Linked DNA regions of Pelodiscus sinensis. The protein of the gene in region 2 interacts with the protein of the main gene of each other region in a pairwise test. Links are inferred from orthologs where the notes say so. Each region holds a gene or a part of one and is shown on either strand. Other genes may lie near its edges.

The links. The genes of interacting proteins can lie anywhere in the genome.
Region 1: the proteins of SH2D4A (region 2) and PPP1CB interact in binary tests that used the Homo sapiens proteins (3 or more experiments, as listed by UniProt). The two-hybrid records come from large-scale screens. The link is inferred for Pelodiscus sinensis from reciprocal best matches to the Homo sapiens genes SH2D4A and PPP1CB.

What each region holds. Positions count from the first base shown.
Region 1 is NC_134713.1:160,759,218-160,770,477, reverse strand, and holds the start of PPP1CB (serine/threonine-protein phosphatase PP1-beta catalytic subunit), read left to right. Parts: upstream 1-7,079; 5' UTR 7,080-7,333; coding exon 7,334-7,385; intron 7,386-7,690; exon of another isoform or gene 7,691-7,713; coding exon of another isoform or gene 7,714-7,714; intron 7,715-11,260. UniProt on the Homo sapiens protein: Protein phosphatase that associates with over 200 regulatory proteins to form highly specific holoenzymes which dephosphorylate hundreds of biological targets.
Region 2 is NC_134715.1:4,802,055-4,812,833, reverse strand, and holds the start of SH2D4A (SH2 domain-containing protein 4A), read left to right. Parts: upstream 1-6,065; 5' UTR 6,066-10,779. Other genes in the region: GSR (glutathione reductase, mitochondrial), read left to right, coding at 4,586-4,719, 5,463-5,612. UniProt on the Homo sapiens protein: Inhibits estrogen-induced cell proliferation by competing with PLCG for binding to ESR1, blocking the effect of estrogen on PLCG and repressing estrogen-induced proliferation. May play a role in T-cell development and function.

The sequences.
Region 1 (11,260 bases), on a different chromosome or scaffold from region 2:
AGCCACATTGTTTATGATTCCCCAAATTATTACATAATTGCATACCATAGAAAGATGTAATTCTGACCCATGCAGCTCATGAAGAAGCTAGAACATTTCTGTAAAAGTGCCTTAAGGTTTTGTATGATTTGTAATAGATCACATACTGCTATCTGTCTTCCAAAGTTTTATATAAATCTTGTATTCTTTACAGAATACTTAACTTTTCCCTGCAAATTGAAAATGTATTTCTAATGGTTTTTGGCCTGGTTTGCTTCTGGATTATTACTGTTTACTACAATACCCAAAACTGTGCTGCACAGGCTTTTAAATAGCATCTTTCATCGAAAAGAGACAAACTAGAAGTTCCTCTTCCTAACCCCATTTGTATCAAGCAAAAAGGACTGTGATTCAGTATTCTTGGATTTGATACCCAACTCTGATGGTTTGCTCTGTGTGCCTCTGCCAAATCACATTACTTTCTGATATGTTTAGTAAAATGTATATAATTTATGTTCCTCTCAGGATTGTAAAATTTAATTATCTATTTGTGAAGCTGTGTGAGAACTGCAATATAGGTAAAGAGTAAGTTTTCTGTGAAGCATGAAAATACAAGCCATTAAGGCCACGTCTTCACTATGTGGAAAATCGATGCTGTCTGGGGTTTGATTTAGTGGGTCTAGTGAAGACCCGCTAATTCAAACTCAGAGGGCACCCCTGTCAGTACTGGTACTCCTGCTCCTCAAGAAGAGTAAGGGAAGCTGACAGAAGCACTTACTCCAGTCAACCTCCAGCAGTGTGGACAGCGTGGAAATGCAATTTAAACTACGTCAACTCTAGCTATGTAATTAATGTAGCTGGAGTTGCATATCTTAATTCAACCTTGAGCTGTAGTGTAGACCAGGCCTAGGTATATAGACTCCATCTTTTGCACCTAGCACTCTTCACAACTGCCATTGGTTGAGTATCAGGATTCCTTGCAAATCTTATAAGTGCAGTATAAAACCTCTGAAAGGGAACTCAAATTGCCTAGCTGTGTTGCCATGCTATTAAAAACAATGGCTTCAATTTCTGAAGTCATGAACGGGGCACACAGATGAGAACAGGGCACACAAGGGATTAAACTTGCAAAATGTGGTTTAAAACAATACTAAAGAAAATTGCTTACAGACTCAGAATTGTGACCCACTGTATAATGTTAGGCAACTCCCTTAGTCTATCTGTGCCTTATTATACCTTTCTTACAGCTGGATAAACTAATATATTAATGGGATGTTGAGAAGTTTGATTAATAATGTACATAAAACACTGTGAGATGAAAGGATAAAAGTTGCTCACATTGCTGGAGCTTAGTCCCCAAGTTTAAAGGATTTCTTTCTGAAGCTCACTGTGCATTTTATTTTTTCTGAAACTATAGCTGCTAGTGTCAAATACCAGCAAATTAGCAGGGCATAAACCATCTGTTTTCCCTAAAACTGACTATTCTTACATTTACATAGGAAAATGAATGCAGATACTTTTTTTGGTCCCCACAGCTGTTCCTTCCTAAGAAACAGAGCAGGAACATTTTCCTATGATGCAAAGGACTGGTAAATTTGAGTGCCATGTCATGTCAGAGATTTGGTCTGAGGCCAGAATCATTTGTCATGTTTTGTTTCAAGAGCCAATCCCCCAGCCTGGGTTGGGGGATAACGCAGCAACAGGTGTCATTTATTTATGATAACTGGTGGGCCAGAGGACAAGTTGGCAGAGGACCTGAGACTATATCATAGTCTAATAAAAACCCTCATCACATTCTTAAAGAGTTCTGACATTGACAGCTGAAGTACTCTGACACACATGCAGTTGTGTATGCCTTACATGCGAGTCTCTCACTGTTTTTGCAGGGGACGCCAATGAGGCTTTATGATCTCTTCAGGGTTGTGAGGGCCCTGCCCAATCTGAATCTGAATGGATACATTGGAAATACTGGGATAAGGCTGCAGCAGATGCATGATTAATTCATTGATCTTTTCAATATAAGACATACAGATATGTTTCATAGAGGAGTTCACTCCTCTTCTACCATTTTTACTCTTTCATCGTTGATCCTTGGTGGTTATTTTCATTCTGCAAACAGCCCCATAGCAATTAAAGGACTACCTAAAAATACTGTTATGCTTATAAAAAGCACATGGGATTTTTTTCAGAGGAAAAAGCAATACACTGTGTTTATTGCAAATACAACATGAAAAGCAATGTATGCATTCACACACACAAAGGTCATGCAGATGATCTTACCAGTTACCAGTCTGTTGTGATTCATCAATCTATTCGCTAGTTAGATTGAACATGAGTGAAGAGCTGGGTTCTGTCGGTTGTGATTTGAGGCTCCGAGGCTTGGCTTTGCAGGACCAAACCTAGAGTCCCATGGTAAAATCACCCCATTTTTATACTTGTAAGATCTCATTTGAGTCTATGAGGTTTTGCAGTGTCATGCTGCAATCTCTGATGTGTTAATAATCTTGTGGTTTTCCTATAATTATCATTTGTTTATGATCAAACTTCTCATCATTATCTCTTGTTTGTCATCTCACTTTGGGGATGGGTCTCTGCCTGTCTCCAAGGTTCTGCAACTCTGCTAATTTAACTCTAGTGTGAGCACAATGGATGCTTCTTGGTCATCTCCAAATTTCTCACGTGTTTGTGACCATCTGGACATTTGTAATGGCTTTCACACACATTCTTCAACTACGCTCACAACCTCCACTCACAACCAAACAATTCACCGAGAATTTCCAGTTAAACAATTTTGCAGAGTGTTTCAGACAGGATTACATTTTAAAAAGGATTATATAGTTACTAACGGACATAACTTGGTTTGCAATGCAGACAAAAGCCACAATTTAATTTGTAATGCTAATAAGAAGCAAGACCTTATAGCAAACATTGTCTAATCATGAGTGGCAGGATGAAACAGAAGTACACAAAACGTATAAGCAAATAATTATATAGGACTTATTACTATCATTATATTTATATTCTTATACCAACATTAAAATGCTGCATTTTGGCTACAATATCTGGTATGACTGAAAGCAAAATACATGGTATGTGCAGCAGGAATGGCAGTGCGAATGTTCAGACTTCGGCTGGGAGCCATATTCTGAAACACAGTGAGGGCTTCAGGGCCCAGGACTCATCACGAGCCTGGATGTGATTTGCTGTGTAGACATACCCTGAGCCTCTGATGAGACTGTAGAATCAGTCTCTCAGGCCCATTCACTCTGGCTGTGTCTACATTGGCATCCCTTTCTGGAAAAGGGATGCTAATGAGACACTTCGGAATTGCAAATCCGCGGGGGATTTAAATATCCCCCGCGGCATTTGCATTTACATGGCTGCCGCTTTTTTCCGGCTTGGGGTTTTTGCCGGAGAAAAGCGCCAGTGTAGACGCGATTCTCCGGAAAATACCGTATATATTCGAGTATAAGCCGAGTTTTTCAGCACAGTTTTTGTGCTGAAAAATGCCCCCCTCAGCTTATACTCGAGTCAGCATCTCGAGAACTGAGGCGGGCGGGCTCAGCGCGTCTCTGCCGCTGGCCGGGGCTAGCCGGGTCTAGCCCCGGAAGTCGGGGTGAAAGCTGCTCCGGTGCCCCTGGTCTGCTGGAGACCGTCTCCAGCAGACATGGGGCACCGGGCGGGTTCCCGCGCTTCTGAGGCTTTGCCAGAGCAAAGCCTCAGAGGCGCGGGACCCCCCGTGGCTGCGGCTTCAGTCCGGGAGCATGTGGTCTGCTGGGGACGGTCCCCAGCAGACCACAGGCACCCAGATTGAAGCGGCAGCAGCGGCGGTTCCTCTGGCAAAGCCTCAGAGGCGCGGGGAACCGCCGCTGCTGCCGCTTCAATCTGGGTGCCTGTGGTCTGCTGGGGACCGTCCCCAGCAGACCACAGGCTCCCGGACTGAAGCCGCAGCCACGGGGGGTCCCGCGCCTCTGAGGCTTTGCTCTGGCAAAGCCTCAGAAGCGCGGGAACCCGCCCGGTGCCCCTGGTCTGCTGGAGACGGTCTCCAGCAGACCAGGGGCACCGGAGCAGCTTTCGCCCCAACTTCCGGGGCTAGACCCGGTATCTATCTTCATTTTTTACATTTACCAGTAGCTGCCTCATTTCCTACCCTAGGCTTATACTCGAGTCAATACTTTTTCCCAGTTTTTTGGGGTAAAATTAGGTGCCTCGGCTTTTATTCGGGTCGACTTATACTCGAGTATATACGGTAAGCCCTTTTCCGGAAGATCCCTTATTCCTACTTTCAATAGGAATAAGGGATCTTCCGGAAAAGGGCTTATTTTCCGGAGAATCGCGTCTACACTGGCGCTTTTCTCCGGCAAAAACCCCGAGCTGGAAAAAAGCGGCAGCCATGTAAATGCAAATGCCGCGGGGGATATTTAAATCCCCCGCGGATTTGCAATTCCGAAGTGTCTCATTAGCATCCCTTTTCCGGAAAGGGATGCCATTGTAGACACAGCCCCTAAGTATTTAACCAAAGTGGAACAGATTTAATAGGACAGATGGCGGGAGCTCCATATCAAAATATCCCATGGTGCAGTGATTAAAGCACTTTCCTGAAAGGTGGGAGAACCCTGTTCAAATGTTTTGTCCCCATCAGACAAAGGGAGGAATATGAACCTGGATCTCTGACCTCCCAAGTAAGTGTTCTACTCATCAGGCTAATAGTTGAAATAGAGATAATACTACTACCTCCTCTTCCAGCCTGATTCTGAATAGGCACTGATCCAGCATGCCTACTGGACTGGGCCACATCACAGTGATTCTGGAACAGTTTTTATAGTGAAGATGCTGAAGGCAGGAACCATGTATCTGAGTTATTATACAATAGCATTACACAATTCCATCCTGTTATACAACATTCTTTCACTGTATAACATCATCATGCCACAGTAAAATGTTGTGATGATTTTCAGGTGAGTTCAATAATATGGACCTGGTCCACTGTAGCTGGGTGATGCTTTAAAATTCAGGATGGGTAGGTAGCATATGTACTATGTTGGGCAGTTCTGAAAGTCAGTCCTCTTTCTAGCTGGACAAAACAAATTTCCACGTGTCATTTTAGCTCTTCTCTATTTATGGAAAAGACTGAAAAATAAGGGAATTTATATATGCATATAAACTTTTGGCAGATGAGTTGAAATTACATTTTTGGTGGCTGTCTTCAACTGGGACTATAAAGTCAAATTTTGAGTCCTTTTATGGTTTCTTTTTTTCTTTCAGTATATCCAGTGAAACTTTATCATTGCCCTGCACTTTTTGAAAGAGCTCTTTCTTACATTAGTTGTTGGGTTCCCTAATATATATATTTGCACATATTCATAGCATCACTCAAGGACTTTTAAAGCTGTGTTCATACTAAATGCAGGACAATGTAGCACTTTAAAGACTAACAAGATGGTTTATTAGATGATGAGCTTTCGTGGGCCAGACCCACTTCCTCAGATCAAATAGTGGAAGAAAGTAGTCACAACCATATATACCAAAGGATACAATTTAAAAAAATGAACAAATATGAAAAGGACAAATCACATTGCAGAACAGAAGGGGGATGCGGGGGGGTGGGAAGGGGGAGAAAGGAAGGTAAGTGTCTGTGAATTGCTGATATTAAAGGTAGGGAGAGTGGGATGTTTGTGAGTTAATGGTATTACAGGTGATAATTGGGGAAACTGTCTTGGTAATGGGTGAGAAAGTTCAAAGTCTTGTTAAGTCCTTGTTGGCAAGTGTCGAATTTTAACATGAATGACAGTTCAGAGGATTCCCTTTCAAGTGCAGATGTAAAAGGTCTTTGTAGCAGAATGCAGGTGGCTAAGTCATTTAGAGAGTGTCCTTTCTGGTTAAAGTGGCAAGAAACTGTTTTCTCTTTGTGATCTTGTCTGATATCTGTTTTGTGGGCATTAATCCTTTGGCGAAGTGTCTGAGATGTTTGTCCAATGTACATAGCAGACGGACACTTTCGGCACATGATAGCATAGATTATATTTCTGGATGCGCAGGAATATGTGTTCTTGATCTTATAACTCACTTGGTTAGGTCCAATAATGGTTTCAGCAGAATGAATATGTGGACAAAGCTGGCAACGGGGTTTGTTGCAAGGGAAGGTACCAGGGTTGGTATTAGTGTGGTATGTCCTGTGGTGGTTGGTAAGAATCATCTTGAGGTTAGGTGGTTACTGTTCATACTAGTTTTTCCTTGATTGGTATATGAACATGAGTATTTGAAAATCATGTAAAATGACATGGTCTGTTATAGACCTCGACAGTTCCTAGAGCCAAAAATCCAAATCTTCATCTATATTTAGGTATCTAAGTGGCCTGATTTTTCTAGAATAGCTGCAGTTTGCACAGCAATAGCTATGTTTTATGCTTTACAGTTTTACATATTGGCCCTATTCCTGCATATTTTAACAGCTGCTTTCAAAGCATTTTATGTTCATTCAGATAGCCACCTAATGGCAAAACCGCATACTTTAAAATGGTCAATAAGTAATGCTGAAAAATATGTCCGGGATGAGAAAAACATAAGTGTTTTTTTTCTGAGAGTTGCATTAGTTGCTGAGCGCAACTTGGTCTTTCAATGCGGGCAGCTTGTTTAACTATTGTGATTTTTGACAGCAACGAACGTGAGACGTGATCAGCTCCCAAGAGTGGCTCACGTTAGCAGTGGGACGGGGGGCTCTGGTTAGCCTCCCCAGGAGTCAGGCGGGAGGGTGTGTGAGTCCAGCTGGAGGGCTCCAGCTGTGAACGCTTGGCTGGGGGATGTCTGGCAGGTTTCCACCTGCGCGCGGGGACGTGCTTCTCCGACACCCTTTTGCACTCAGGCTGGACCGTCTCTCCTGCTCCCACCTGACACTAGCTCGGCCGCGCTTGCAGCACTGCTAGGCCCAATGGGTTACTGGGGGCGGCGAAAGGAAGATCATCTGAAGCGCATGCGCCCCTCCAGGAGGGCTTGAAGTGCAGCAAGAACACCCCTTGCGCCTGCGCCGTCTGTAACATTGGCCCTAGAGGAGTCCCTCACGCATGCGCCCTTGCTAAAGTTGCGAAGCGAAGCGGTCGCGGCAAGAAACCAGGTGGCGGCGCATGCGTCGTGGTTTGCTGGCGGTCCGGTCTCTGAGGCGGGGAGGAGGTGCGGGGGTTGGTCTCTCCCCCCCATTTAACGGAGCGGGGCCGAGCGAGGCGCTTTCGGGTGCCCGCGCGGGAGGAGCAGAGCAGAGAGCGCGGCGGGATTCCTGGGGCGAGCCGCCGCCCCTCGACCGTGAAGCGCTCTCCACCCCGCCTTCTCCCCGCCCGGGACTGAGTCCGGTGGCCACAAAATGGCGGATGGGGAGCTGAATGTGGATAGTCTCATCACCCGGCTGCTGGAAGGTGAGCGAGCCCCCCCCGGCACGCGCACACCGGGGAGGGTGTTTAGGGGTCTCTCCCCCTCCCCCGTGCACGCGCACACACACGGGGTGCGGGGCTAGTGAAGAGCAAGGGGCGAGGCGGGATCCCGCGCTAGCACACAAGGGTGGGTAGGGGGCGAGGCGGGATCCTTCCCTTCACTCACACTCACTCACTCACTCCCCCCTCCCACTCCCCCTGCCCCTCCCACTCCCCCTCCCGGCGCCTAAGCAGTAAGTTGGGCCCAGTTTGCCCGGTGTGGGGAGAGCGCGCGGCAGCGAAGGAAGGTCTGGGAGGCGATCGCTCCCGCGCTAGTAGGTGCTCTAAGCTCTGTCGCGGATGGGGGGGGGGAGACGTACGTGCGTGCTACATTGCTGCTGCTGAGAGAGTGGGGAGAAGTAGGAGTTGTTTTGAGTGCACTGAGCCCTCGGTGCGCTGTTAAACTAGAGGAGACATCAAAGGCTAATGCGTTTAAGCCCCATATTCAGAAGGCGGCTGGGCGTGCCTGAGCGCGCGTGCGCGCCCGCATTAGGCGGGGGGCTGTGTAAAGTGAGTTCCTGCCCCATATCAGTGCTGCATGTGTTTAAAGCCCAGGGTCGGGACAGCTTCCCCAAGTGATGGGTGTGCTAGAAAAGCCTAGCTAGTGAGTGGTCTCCCTCCTTCCTATCAGACCGGTAGCTGTTTTTCATGGTTTTAAAAATAGACATTTTTGGTGTGTGTATGGAGATGCAGGAAGGTTTTTGTCTCCTGCAGTTCTTCTGCCTAGCTATGGGGCTATTTCTAATGTTGGTTATAGAGGCGGAGAAGAATGAGTGAGGGGGTTAATATGCGAAACAGCTGACTGTTTTCCAAGGAGTAGGATGCTATACTACTATCCTTATAAATCCATTTGATGATGATCATGGACAGGGATGATCTTGTCTTATTTTCTTTTTGATGACCCCCAACAAATATCTGGTGAGGGGAAAAAACATGTCTGTAGTTTTAAAAATGTATGTAACTTCTGGATTTGAAAGGCTACCAATGAGACTTACCATATAGATTTTGCTTAGGAGTGCGAACTGTTGGCTTCTTGGTGGTATCTTATTTAACTACTTGATAACCTAACATGACACACAGGTTTGTGAACATCATTTTGTAGTCATTCCTTCATCTTGCTAAAAGTGAAATGGTGCTTCACTAGAATGTCATTGAATATAAAATAAGCAACTCTTAATGAAATGATAAATCTTACACTTTGTATTCTTTGTTAGTATGTCTGTATTTAAAGTATCCAGTGTAGTGAGAGAACTTGCAAGTACCTGTATTTATCGGTCAGTGTAGATAGATAATTCAGCATTAGGTTAGAGTTCATTTCTGAGTGACTTGAAGCTTGAAACATTGCTAGCAAGTTTAAACACGACACTTTTACCAATGAATTTTGTCTTGTTTTTTATTATTGTTACAGATAGTCACAAATGGGACTAGTTATCATTCACTTTTTACTATAAGCTCAATTTTTAGGGGGGGGGGGTGCCTGTAAAATAATTTGGCTCAAATCTTTGTCTGGAGCAGCACTTTTTACTATGTTTTAATAAGATTAAATCTATCTACTATATATCTGAGAGAGTTGTCTGTTCAAGAACTCCTCCTAAATGGTAAGAGTTAGGACTACCAAATTTGGTATACAGCTTCTTCCTCTTATCATAACTCAAAGCAACGTAAGGGTTTGGATGTGCCTAGACTGGGAGTGCTTCTCATAAAACAGTGCAGAAAAGAGGCAGAGTTACCAGATAAGTGAAAGGGGCTGGCTGCCTCTAGCCTCCTACTCCCCAGGTGCCCTTTAGGTAGGATGGGGAGGTGAATCTCCCCCCTCAATTCATATGGGGACATTGCTGGCTGTTGCTCTTTATTAAGAAGTGAGGGGAAAGTGCATAGTTTATGCATTCCTCACTTTGTCTGGGGAGTACAGGGGACAGATGAACCTGAATCTGCTCCAGCTGGTAGACATGCAACCTCCCCTGGCTGTGCCCACTGGAGCTGCATGAGGTGCTTCTTGTCTGGCCCCAAGCTGCTGCCACCCTGAGAGGGGGATGGAGTAGTCCAGGCCAGCCTGCATACTGAACTCCTCATCCACAGCCCTACCCCAGAGCAATGATTTAAATGCAGTATGTTTGTTTTTCATTCCGTTTTACAAAAGACAAATACTGAGTTATAGACCCAAGCAAGAGTTATTTTTTAAAGTTGCTATTAAAAGGGCAGGCCTAGCCTCCAACATATATCTTAGTGTTTGTTTGCTAAGACAATAACTTGTGTAACTTTTCTGATGTGCATATCCATATTAAAATAGTTGATAAAATAATGTTTTGAGGGTGTAGCTGAAAGAGTCTGTATCTGCTCCAAAAAAAAAAAGGAGTCCTATGGCACCTCAGATCACTTCCACCTTGTTGGTTACTTAGATTCACAGTTGAGACTGTTTGGGAAATTGGTGCTTAAAGATCTTTTCACAATATTAAAATGTGTGATAAAGGCAAATTTTAGACTTAACAGGTCAAATTTGTGCAAGTCTGTGTACAACTTTTTTAAACTTTGTAAATCAAAATCTTAGAGATTTTTAAACTTTTTGTTTAACTTGAGTGTAAAAAAATTAAGGAAAATCTGTGTCTTGACAAACAGATATTTCTTCACTTACCTCCCACTGAGTTTAACATGGAGTTTGCATACGTCTCTGATCCGAAGGAAAATAGACGGTTCTCTTACTGCATTGTTGTAGGTTTCCCCAGACAGCGGGCATGTTTTTGTCTCCGTTTACACTTTTGCTTATTTCACACTTTCCAGTTTCTGCGCTATGAATGTACTGTACTATAGGATGAATAAAAGATTGAATATTGCAGTCTTAATTATAAAGTTTCTTTTATGTAATCTAACACTTAATGATTTATAGTTTGACATTGCTTCTGCTCTGGTAAAGTTGCGGTGTAAAATATGTTTCAAGCCAAAGATAAACCTGTAAATTCTCAATCTAGGAGCACTATTTTACCTATTGTCAATTGTGTTTTAGCACTTCCAGATTAGATGGTCAAAAACAGTTGTTTTATAATGAAAGCATGTATTTAAAAGCTTTGAGAATATTATTGCAGTGTGGTATTCCACAGCTTGTTCTAGGTCCTTCTGCTCCCTTTAAATGAAATGGATGTCTTGATCAGCAATTACAGTAGTTTTTCAATAGCTGCTGCTTGAAACTCATTTTGCAGTGCACTAATTAACAAAAATAGTAACACTAGCAAGAATTTTCTGACCTCTCTAGATTGCTGGATGAATACACCTGTTTTTGCATAGGAACCTAGTAGTCATGATTCATGCACTTACTTTGAGATGGGATTATAGTACTGCAACTACCTGTTTCTTAGTCAATCGAGGCCAATAAAATTCCGTCTTGGACAACATAAGGCAACCTGTCCCTCTTGATCAGAACTAGCTGCTGAGAGCACCTCAGTGTAGTCTACCTTCTACTTGCTTCCCTTTTAGTGCTAGGTTCCAGTTTTCAAAGTTCGAAAGCATGCTACATCTGAAGCTCAGACGCCTGCACTAATGAATGTGTGCACACATGCTCATTTCAGAGAATAGCAACTCTACAGATCTGGGAGCCAAGTTTCTTAATGTTGGATTCTAGACTAAATATTCTTTTTGAAGAGATCGGAGTAATTCTTAGATTAGCTTCTCAGTCAGGACCATTGGAAAATGCACTTTTATCCAGCATGCATGGGAATGATATGAAAGGAGGAGGGGGAAAAATCCTAGTTAAACGGTGAACTCCAAGATGACAAGATGATGCCCATTTTTAATTCACTTGGTCTTCATTTGCAGCTTGTTGAATATAT
Region 2 (10,779 bases):
ATCATAGAAGCTAATCAGATTGGTCAGGCACAACTTGCCCTTGGTGAATCCATGTTGACTATTCCTGATCACTTTCCCCTCTTCCAAGTGCTTCAAAATGGATTCCTTGAGGATCCCCTCCATTATTTTTCCAGGGACTGAGGTAAGGCTGATGGGTCTGCAGTTCCCTGGATTGTCCTTCTTCCCTCTTCTAAAGATGGGCACTACATTTGCCTTTTTCCAATCATCCGGAATCTCTCCCAGTCTCTGCGAGTTTTCAAAGATAATGGCCAAATCCTCCACAACTACATTTGCCAACTCCCTCAGTACCCTTGGATGCATTAAATCCAGGCCCATGAATTTGTCTGTTTAGCTTTTCTAAATAGCTCCTAACTTGTTCTTTCCCCACCAAGGGCTGTCCACCTCCTTCCCATACTGCGTTGCCTAGTGCATTTGTCTGGGAGCTGATCTTGTCCGTGAAGACAGAGGCAAAGAAAGCATTGAGTACTTCAGCTTTTCCCACATCATCTGTCACTAGGTTACTTCCTTCATCTAGTAAGGGCCCCACACCCTCTCTGATCACCCTCTTATTGTGAACATGCCTTTCTTGTTACCCTTCACATGCCTTGCCAGCTGCAATTCCAATTGCGCTTTTGCCTTCCCGATAACTCCCCTGCATTCTCGAGCAATATATTTATACTCCTCCCTAGATATCTGTCCAAGTTTCCACTTGGCACATAGGCGCACTCAATCAGTAATGTAAGGTAAACTACAGTGTAACTGTCCCAAAATCAAGAACTACATTGATAAGGTTAAACTTAAAAAAAAAAAAAAAAAAAAAAAAGGTTTAGGAATCAAAATATAATTATGGCACCCTTAACTGTGTCCAGTAGAAATGTCATGGGGGGGGGGGGGGGGGGGAGAGAGGAGAGAGGAGACTAAACTGATTTTGAAGAAATTTTTTTGTAATTTGACCTAGGTCCACAAACCCTAAAGTGCCATAATCCTAAGAGAATAGTGTTTGCATAGTAGCACTACAGGGCATAGTGAAGGTTTCTGCTGAAAGAGAAACATCTAAGGTATGGTCAGGAAAGGCCATAAATCTTTAAAAAATATCTTTAGATATAGCCTATGCACAAGATTTCAGTGAGGTTTTTTTTTTAATCCCATGGGAAGCTGGATGAGTCTGACAGAGCAGATTATAGTTGTTTTGGTGTCAACATCATTTCTTACCTGAACATGCTTAATTTTCTTTATTTGTAACCTTAACTGTGACTTCTTGGGCTTTAGACTGTTTGGTTTGTGGATAGTTATGGTTGTATTGTGGGTTGTAATCCAGACCTGTAAGGAGAGGTTACATCCTGTGTTGTAACCATGGGTGCCTTAAGTGCTGTGCTGCTGTGGCTCACAGCCTGGATACAAACAGCAGTCCCTTGAGTTTTTGCGTGCTCTGCTAGCTTTGTCCTGACCCAGAAGCCTGCCACAAACACAACAGTCTCTCCCTTGTTTCCTCCAGCTGTAGTTATACCTGGCAAGGTGACCTCAGCACACTTCCTGTTCCAAATGTCTACAGAACCACCCACCCTGAAGTGTTCAGCCTTCTCCTGAACCACTTAGATAAATAATAATGTTTATTTACTCCTTTAAAGGCACAGTACCCAAGAGCTTGTGACATTAATTGGAGTTAACTATTACAACAGTTCAGACACTGCACTGGGTTGTTTTAGGTTAAAATAGAACACGTTAATAACACCTGGGTTATGTGATGCCAAATAAAAGAAATAAAGTTAGAGAGAGTTGCTAGCAAATAAAAATACGTGCCTAAAAGTCTAGAACTTCTCTAACAAGGCACAGACTTTTTTGATGATTTTGTTCGCCCATTACCCATGGCTGATGAATTCTCTCAGCCAGGAGCTTCCACGGAAGTACAAGATGATGGTTTCTCATGTGTTCCTAAGTGAAAGATTCAGTTGGACTCTCTTTTTTCCTTATATCCCCAAAGAATTGTCTTAAATATCAGAGTTAGGAAGGCCACCTGTGTTTCTCTGGGGTACGAGGAGCAATGTTGGTTCTCAGTCTCTTGAGTTCAAGCCAGGGTTGCCAACAGTCAGTAAATTTATGGGCAGCCCATAAAAGGAGCTAAAATTGGACCTGTCTGTAAAACATTTCCATGTCAATAAAAACCCACTGAGCTTCCTCCCACTTGGCTCTGGGGCAAGCTCCGCAGGGCAGCTCCGTAGACTCTACAGTTCCTGGGGCAGGGGGGAATTCTCCTGGTGGGGGCTGCTCTTCTTCACCTGTGGTGACCAGCTTTGAGCTCTTTGGTGTCACCAACCCTCATGCTCCTGCTGCAGCCCATCATTCAGCCTTTTCAGCCGTAGCCCCCTCCCCACCCCCATCCCGAGATGTGAAGTAGGTAAAACCTGAAGAAAAGTCTGTTTTCCTCACCCCTTTTGAATTTTGCCTGTGCCCAGAAGAGTCCCAAAAGGGTCACCTGCCTTGCCCGAAAGCTTTCAGAACTTGGAGGATGCGAATGTGGGTAGTAAATAGGTTAAACTAGCATAATAACATTGCTGCTGTGATGTCTGAATAAAAACATTGACTAGTGTTCCCTTTTGTCGTATCTTTATATAGTGTAAGAATGCGTCCGTAAAAAAGTTTCAGTAACTTTTTTTCCATGTTGTCCACAAAAATACTTTTAAGCAGATGGCAATCCTGGTTCAGGCTCAACACAACCCCTGCTGGATCGCTTGATAGCTTTGTTCACAGCTAATGTGTAAACTGAGGTAACCTACATTCCTTTGTCTAGGGCAGATCTGTTTTATCACCTTTGCCTAGGCCAGGCTGTCATCTTGTTCTAGTGACATTGTACAGTAGGCATGTAGAGCTTCACATAAGAAGTTAACACATGCATTTTACACTGATATTAATGAGCCGTGTGCTACAGGTTGAACCTCTAAAATCCATGTCTCTCTGGTCTGGCAGGACCACAAATATTGCTGGGCCATATTACCCTGTTTGGCCAGGTTCAGGAGCAGTGGTGGGGAGCGCCAGCCATGGGCTGGGGCAGGCAGCAGCAAACTGTGCTTCAGGACCACTACGGTCCTGAGAGTGTCCGACTAGGGAGATCCCACCTGTATTAGTTTTAGGTGCTGTCTTGTAAAGGCATATGTTTAAAAAAACGTTTTGCAGTAGTGTGTAGGGTGTGAACACAGCAGTGCGTACAGACAGTTACAGTGTCTTACTATATAGTTTAGAAATGTGCCTCTCTCTGTCCGTCCATCTGTGTGTCTGTTTGTTCAAGAACTCCTCCTAAACAGTAAGAGCTAGGAACATCAGCTTCCTCTTACCTTCACCCCGATCCCCTGCCCCAGGTCAGAATCCCATCCTGCCCTAGGTCTCAACCCAAACTCCTGCATCCCCTCCTACACATCAGTCCCCTGTCCCAGGTCACAACTGCCTCCTTCACCCAAACTCCCTCCCAGATCCCACACCTCCTCCATTAAAGTAATGGAAGAGTATAGCCTTTGACTACTTTCCAAAATTATTGCCCACCTCTGTTCTACTGTATAACCTAGCCACAAGATTTTAGAGAATTTTAACTACAAAAAGTATATTGCAGTTACTGCAGCTGTGGGTCAAAAAGTGAGTGCCTATATTTCTTAGGGATCCCACATTTAATTTTATCTCCACAACTAATAAATAGATTTTTTTTGTAAATTGCCAAGTTCATTCTTTACTCAAAGTGCTGTAGGCTTGCAGATGCTGTGCTGTGTTCTTCGTACATAAGTGTGGCCCTGCTTAAGGGCAAAACTCAAATACACTTTGACTATGAAATGTCTGAGGACACCTCCATAATGCCGCCATTAATTTATTTTTTGAATGTCAGATTTGTTCTTTTTGGAAAACTTACTAAAATGTGTTTGTCCAGAATACTTTACTTCTTCCAAATGCTTAGTCGTTTACAACGCTTGGTCCCTGTGTTGTGCTAGCAATAGACTGTTTCAATTGCTTGCATAAGTACCAATGTCATTAAGAAGTGTACAGAACATTTTCCTCTGTCGCTGTGTAAAGTGGTCTTCATTTCATCCTGCTTGAGTATGAGGGATTGTTTATACTACTACTTAACAGGGGGGAGGGATAGCTCAGTGGTTTGAGCATTGACCTGCTAAACCCAGGGTTGTGAGTTCAATCCTTGCAGAGGCCATTTAGGGATTTGGGGCAAAAATTCATCAGGGATGGTACTTGGTCCTGCTGTGAAGGCAGGGGACTGGACTCAATGACCTTGCAAGGTCCCTTCCAGTTCTAGGAGATAGGCAACCTCCATTATAAAAAAACTTACATTGCTCTGGGTTATGAAAAAGCCATGTAAATTACATCAACTTAGTATGGGGCAGACACCACTTTTATATGGATGTGAGACTCTCTCCCGCCAACACAGCTGTTTCTTCTTGTTGAGGTGGAGTAATTACGCTGAAGGGAAAGCGCTCTCCTGTTGGCGTGGTGTCCTTCACCAGACGTGCTGTAGTGCTGCGAGAGCCCAGTAGTGTAACTAGCCCATAGTCCTCTGCAGGCCATGGAGTCAAATGTCTCTTGTGTGTTACAGAGGAAGCCATTTCGACATATGGAAAAGAGAATGTGAAGATCTACAACACCTCTTTTACCCCCATGTATCACGCTGTAACGCAGAGGAAAACTAAGTGTGTCATGAAGCTGGTTTGTGCTGGCAAAGAAGAGAAGGTGAGCCAAATGAAATAAGTCATAGCTAAAATGTTAAGGAGAATGGAACAGCTTGTATTCTGCTGTTAGCTAAATCGGTGTGGCTAGCGAAAGGTAAAATAACTGGCCCACTGCCAGCAGGATCCTGATTAAACCAGCTAACCGATTACATGGGATTTTACATCCCTACCTCATCATTATTTGTGGCATATGAGGCTGAAGGGGTTCAGCTACGCCGCTCTAGTCTGACCTCATATATAACACAGGTCATAAAATTTCATCTGACTCCTCTTTTGGGCCTAATCAGTGTTTGACTAAAACATCTTTGAGACAGGCCCCCAGTCTTGAGTTGAGCATTTCAAGAGATGAAAAATCCTCTGCTTCCCTGGTAGTTTAATCTGTTCCACGCCCATGCTGATAGATTCCCTCTGGTTTTGCCAGCTGCAGGGGCACAAAGTTAAGATGGTGCTGCAGGGGTAATAGGGACTGTAACTTCGTATTTCCTAGTTTTCAAAGGTTTATATTTTGTCACTTCCCATATTCTGAAGCAAGCTGCTTTCCACAGGCTGGAAACACTACTGGGCGACCTTAACTCTTCACTAACTCCAAATGGGTAGATTTGTTTGAAAGGCTGTTGACTAGGTCAAAAGTAGCTTTTCTCTATGCCAATGAGTGATCAGGTTGATGGAGATTCTCTAGCTGGTTCAGTGATAACTGTCATTAAATGCTCATCTGTATTAAAGTAAGTTTCCTATTGTTTGAAGGTGGTGGGACTACACATGCAGGGACTAGGGTGCGATGAAATGCTGCAAGGTTTCGCTGTAGCAGTCAAAATGGGAGCAACAAAGGCCAGCTTTGATGAGACGGTTGCCATTCATCCAACTTCATCAGAGGAGCTGGTCACACTCCGTTGAAAGGTTGCGTATTTCTGAGGCTTGCAAACCAATCTGTAATACGGCAGCCAAAAACACTTGAAATAGGCTTGCGGAATCATAACTACTTTTCTTGGTGCCATTTAGACAAACTCTTTCTTTTCTGTGACACTCCAGATGATATTCAGATTCTTCTGTTTTTGTAATCTAGACATTTATAATGTGGGGAAAAAATCTGAGCGACGTCCAGTGGTGGTGGCATCTCTTCCTTTCATCCAAATAGCTTGGTTTCTTGAAGCTTCATTGGTTTAGACTGAAAAATAAATAAATAAAATAGTTTAAACTCTTTGGTTCTTGTTTGATTATCTCAGACCTCATAAGCTTATCTAAGCCCATGTTTTGACTGGCTAAGCTATCTGGTGCAAAAGAGATGTCTCAGTTTTCATTACTTTCACCATTGATTTTATCATGTGGGACATGTAGAATTGTCTTCCTCCTGTCTCGTTCAGCATGGCTCTGTGCACGCAGAAAAGCTCCTCTTGAATTATGATTGGCAGAAGGAATTTCAGGGTACGTCTACACTGCAGATGCCTGTGCCACTGACTCAGGGTTCAGAGGCTGTTGATTTACAGTGTCATCACTTGGGTTTATGCTCTAGGATCCTGTGAGGTGAGAGGGTCCCGGAGTGTGAGCTGCAGCACAAGTGCAAACATTAGCACTACAATTAAACAGTGCCTTAGCCTGAGCCCCAGTGAGCTGGCATGGGTCAGGGGCAGGTTATGTGCAGTGTGTACATACTCTCAGGGAGCAAATCTGGCCTTGTGGCTAAGGCACTTGACTGGAACTGAAATTCTAGGTTGTCAGTCTCTATGTAACCCTGGGCAAGTTACTTTCTTTGTCTCGCTCTCTGGCCATGTCTATACTTACCCATAGATTGATGCTCTGGAGGGCCATCTTCTGGCATTCGATTTAGTGGGTCTACTAAGGACCTGCTAAATCAAATGCCAAGGGGCTGCCCCCATTTATACTGGCACTCCTACTCCTTGGAAGGAGTAAGGAAAGATAATGTGAATGTTTCTCCCATCGACCTCCCGCCGTGGCAGTGGTGCCAAAGTTTGACGCAAGGTACTTAATGTAATTAACGTAGCTGAAGTTGCATATCTTAATTCGAACTTATCCCCTAGTGTAGACCTGACCTCTCTCTCTGCCCCAGCTCCCTAGCTGTGAAGTATGGATAGTAATGTCTTTGTCCTCATAGGCATCTGATCTTGGTTCAGTCCTCTCTATGTTCTTTTGGTGTAGAAGTGTGGTGTCGCCATAAATATGGTTGGGTTATAAATTAAGGCATAAATTCTTGTTTTTCTTTAAAAGTAGGTGGGCAGTTGGTACAAAGTGTTTTATTTTAAGCCTGCTGGTGGTGGAGACAGTAATATCAAATCTGCTGGGAAATCCCACAAAGAACCTTTTATCTGAGACAGTGACCAGGCCTGTAAATTGAAATCCCCGCAAGAACTATCCAGTTGCAGTTTGTGATTCCTGAGTTGGAAGTTGGAAGAACACCATGGAAACCTCATACTGGCTACTGCCTCTTGCATGAAGTATCATCTCCACACCACTGAGGCATGAGTTTTATGGGATGTGATTTGGAGTCCTGTCTTCCCACCTGTCGGGGGATTATGGTGGGGATGACTGGTGTGATGAAACACCCCCCCCCCCCCCCCGTGTTCGCACCCTATACATGTTGTACAAAATATGCCTTGTGAAGTTTCATTTGAAAACTAACAACTCACTGGTTGGTAATGTCACAGAGAAATGTGTGTAGTGATAGTAGATATACGATTTAAACAAAAGCTGAAATCATGACAGAATTGTGTTTACCAGGCAAGTCTGGGAGTGGATAAACTTGTTTCTCAAAGACAAAGGACAGACTCACAGCTTTGGCCTGGTGTCCTCTAAGCTGATGGGCCCTCACCAATCAAGTGGCAATTCTTTGGCAAGGGAGAAGGGTGGGGCAGGAGTGAACAGATCTGCACCTTAGCAAACAGCCATTCACCTCTTTCACTAGCAGACTCCTGGATTCCAACCTCACAATAGGAATGACTGTTAGGGATAACCCTCAAGAAAATGGATTTCAAAGAGAGATTGAACTATAAAAAGCGAGTGGAAGAACACACCCTATCCATCTCTTGCTCTCTCACGTGAGAAGACAAAAGAAATCAGCCTATTTGGAAGAGATCCTGACCTTGGTCAGCTTTGTTGCTGGACCCCTCTGGTAAGAATTTTATTTTGGACCAACTCTGTCCTAAGTTTTAGTCCTAGGAAGTGTTTTATCCTTATTTCTCTTGTATCCATGTCTGACTCTGACTTTAAGTGAATACAAGCATAGGGCATTAATCTTGTAGTTTAATACATTTGTTACATTCTTTAATTAAAATCAGCCCAATTTTAACTGTCCATTTATGGCAGGAAACTGTATGTTAATCCCCTTGCAAGAGTTGGGATTACAAAGGGTATGGCTCATCAACCCAGAGTTAGGGGTGGGGTCAGAGGTTTCCTTGGCCTGGGATTTGGATTGGGGTCAGTAGGAGTCTCCAGGCTACACATGGTAAGGCTCCCTGCCCGAGGGTTGGCCAAAAGGGAGGGTTATGGTAACATTTGCAACGGGGAGGGGTCCCTTGCCTAGGGCTAGGGTTACAAAGTAGAGGGCTCCCACTGGCTCCTGAGCCTGGGGCTAGAGTTTGGATCAGTAGGGTTCCTTGGCCTAGAGTGAAGGTTGCGCGCTCAACCCCAGGGTTACTGTTGGGGTCTGTAGGAGCCCCGGGCTAGAGTAGGATTGTCAGTACAGGTGGGGTGCTCTGGCCTATAGTGGGGTTTACAAAGGGTAGGGCCACTAGCCCTAACATTAGGCTTGTTGTTTGGGCTCCCTGCATTGTGGTAGGGAGCCCCTGTGCCTATGGATATGATTGTTGTCAGGACTCCCCAATGGAGGGTTTGAGTTCCAAAGGGTAGGTCCTCCAGTTGTGAGGTCACAGAGCACCTCCGCCCAGGGACTCCCCAGTCTAGGATTAGGGCTACAAAGCATAAAGTCCCATGGCCTGGGATTAGGGTTGGGGTGAGCAGGCGTCCTTGGTGTAGGTTTGGGTTGGGTCAGTACAAATCCCTGTCTTATGGTACAGGTTGGGTCATCAAATTTCCAAGCAGAAGGTTTGGTTAGAAATGGTAAGGCGACCCGCCCTTGGGTTTAGATTACAATGGGTAGGGTTCCTTCTCCTAATTTCAGGACTGGGGCCAACAGGGCTCCCCATGCTAGGGGTAGGGCTCCCTGGCCTAGAGCTAAGATTGGGGTCAGCAGGACTCCCTGCCTAGGTTCAGAGTTGGGGTTAGCAGGGCTCCCTCACATCGGGTTAGGGTTACACAGCATAGTGCCCCCAAGCAGGGTGAGGGTGAAGGTCAGAGAGTCCCTAGGGGTATGTAAGGGTTGGAGTTAGCAAGGCTCTCTTGCCTGGGGTTCGGGTTGTTCCCGGTCTCAGATTAGGGTTGGGATCCGTGGTTCTTACCAAGGGAAGGACTCTGGTTTAGTGGTAGGGTTATAAGGTGTGGACTTCCTGACCTATAGTTAGGGTTGGACTGGATGCAGCTCCCAAGTCTAGGGTTCGAGTGGGTGTGACTAACCCGCCTCCCCGCGTAAGGTCCGGGTTGCAGCAGTTTAGGCCTCCCCAGCCTAAGATTAGGCCAGGGCATGGTACAGATACCAACCCTCGGGTTAGGGGTGGCCTCGGTGGGGGTTGTCAGGAGTGCTTCTCAGACTAGCATTGGGGCTGGTGGAGATTCCCATTTAGGGGTATGGTTACAAGGGGGGGGCTCCGCAGCCCAGGCTTAGCATGGGGGTCACTACGCTGTGCAGCCTGAGGTTCACGGTGATCAGTAGGGCTTCTGGGCCTAGGGCAGGGTCAGTAGGGCTCCCCGCTTTGTGCTTCATTACAAAGGGCAGGGCTTCCCAGCTGAGGGCAAGGGTACAGTGGGCAGAGTGAGAACTGTTAGTAGGGCTCCCCAGGGCTGGGGCCAGCAGGACTCTCCAGGCTATGGTTAGAGTTGGGAGCAGAAATGAGACACACACTGGCTGCTCACTCGGCTGTCCGTCCCTAGGAAACAGCTGTGGGTGCTCACAGCTCGTATCCTATCCTTCTTTCTGACACTGGTGCCCCACCGCACAAGCCAGGGGCAGGACCTCCTACCGCCTGTGGAGGGTGAGGAGCACCAGTCTGAATGGCGCCCTGGTCCCCTGACCCACTGGCAGGCTCCTTCCCAGAGCAGTTGCATGTGAGTGTGTACTTGTGGGGGTGACCCCTGCCTCTGCGACACTTGCCCCTTTATGTGGCGCAAGGGAGACGTCGGCCCACATCTCCTGCCACGGTGCCAGGCTGCAGCCCCTTGTCCGACTCCTCCAGGGCCTTCTCTTCAGGTTCCAGCCGCGCCTCCGCCTGATCCGCGCATCTCCCTCCGGAGCCCCGTAAAGTCTCCCGGCTTCAGGAGCCACCTCCTGGCTCGGGCGGTCATCCACCCTCCAGGAGAAGGAAGCTGGACTGGCACTGTGGAGCCTATTTCCACGCCTCCCTGAAGTCGTCTCTGGGCAGAGCTCCCCTGGGCCGCGTCCAGCGGTTGCTTTCATCCGGGGTCCTCTGCGCAGTGTTTCCCCCTCTGCACCCATGACCTGATCCCGGTGATCTTCACTCCCATCACGGTTACTTCATTGTGTCCGCCATGATTAGCTGATGCCGGGCTCCAGTGGCTTCTCCCCGTAAGCCCATGGGCAGGGGGGGGTTAAGCAGTGGGTGGGCCTACACTTCTCTCACTCCCTGTGCTTCCGTGGCTGCCCTGAGGCTGCAGGGAGGCGCCTCTCAGGTATGCACCAACCTGGCTGTGGCAGGGACTTGCCCCCAGGCATACGGCAGCAGCCTATCCCGGAGCAGAGCCTGCGTCAGGTGACCCCCAGCCCAGGTATTTCCCCAGCTCCCTAAGCTGCAGCTCCATCTGTGAACAGCCCTACCCAGCCAGGAACCCTCCTGCGGCTATAGGGAGTGTCGGACTCTCCACACTCCCAGCCTGCCCTGCATCAACCCAGCTCAAGCAGCCCTGTTCCAGTCTCGCTCTTGCCCTACCCTCGCCTTGCTCCAGCCTGTTACTGGCTCGCTTCAGCCTTGTCTCCTCT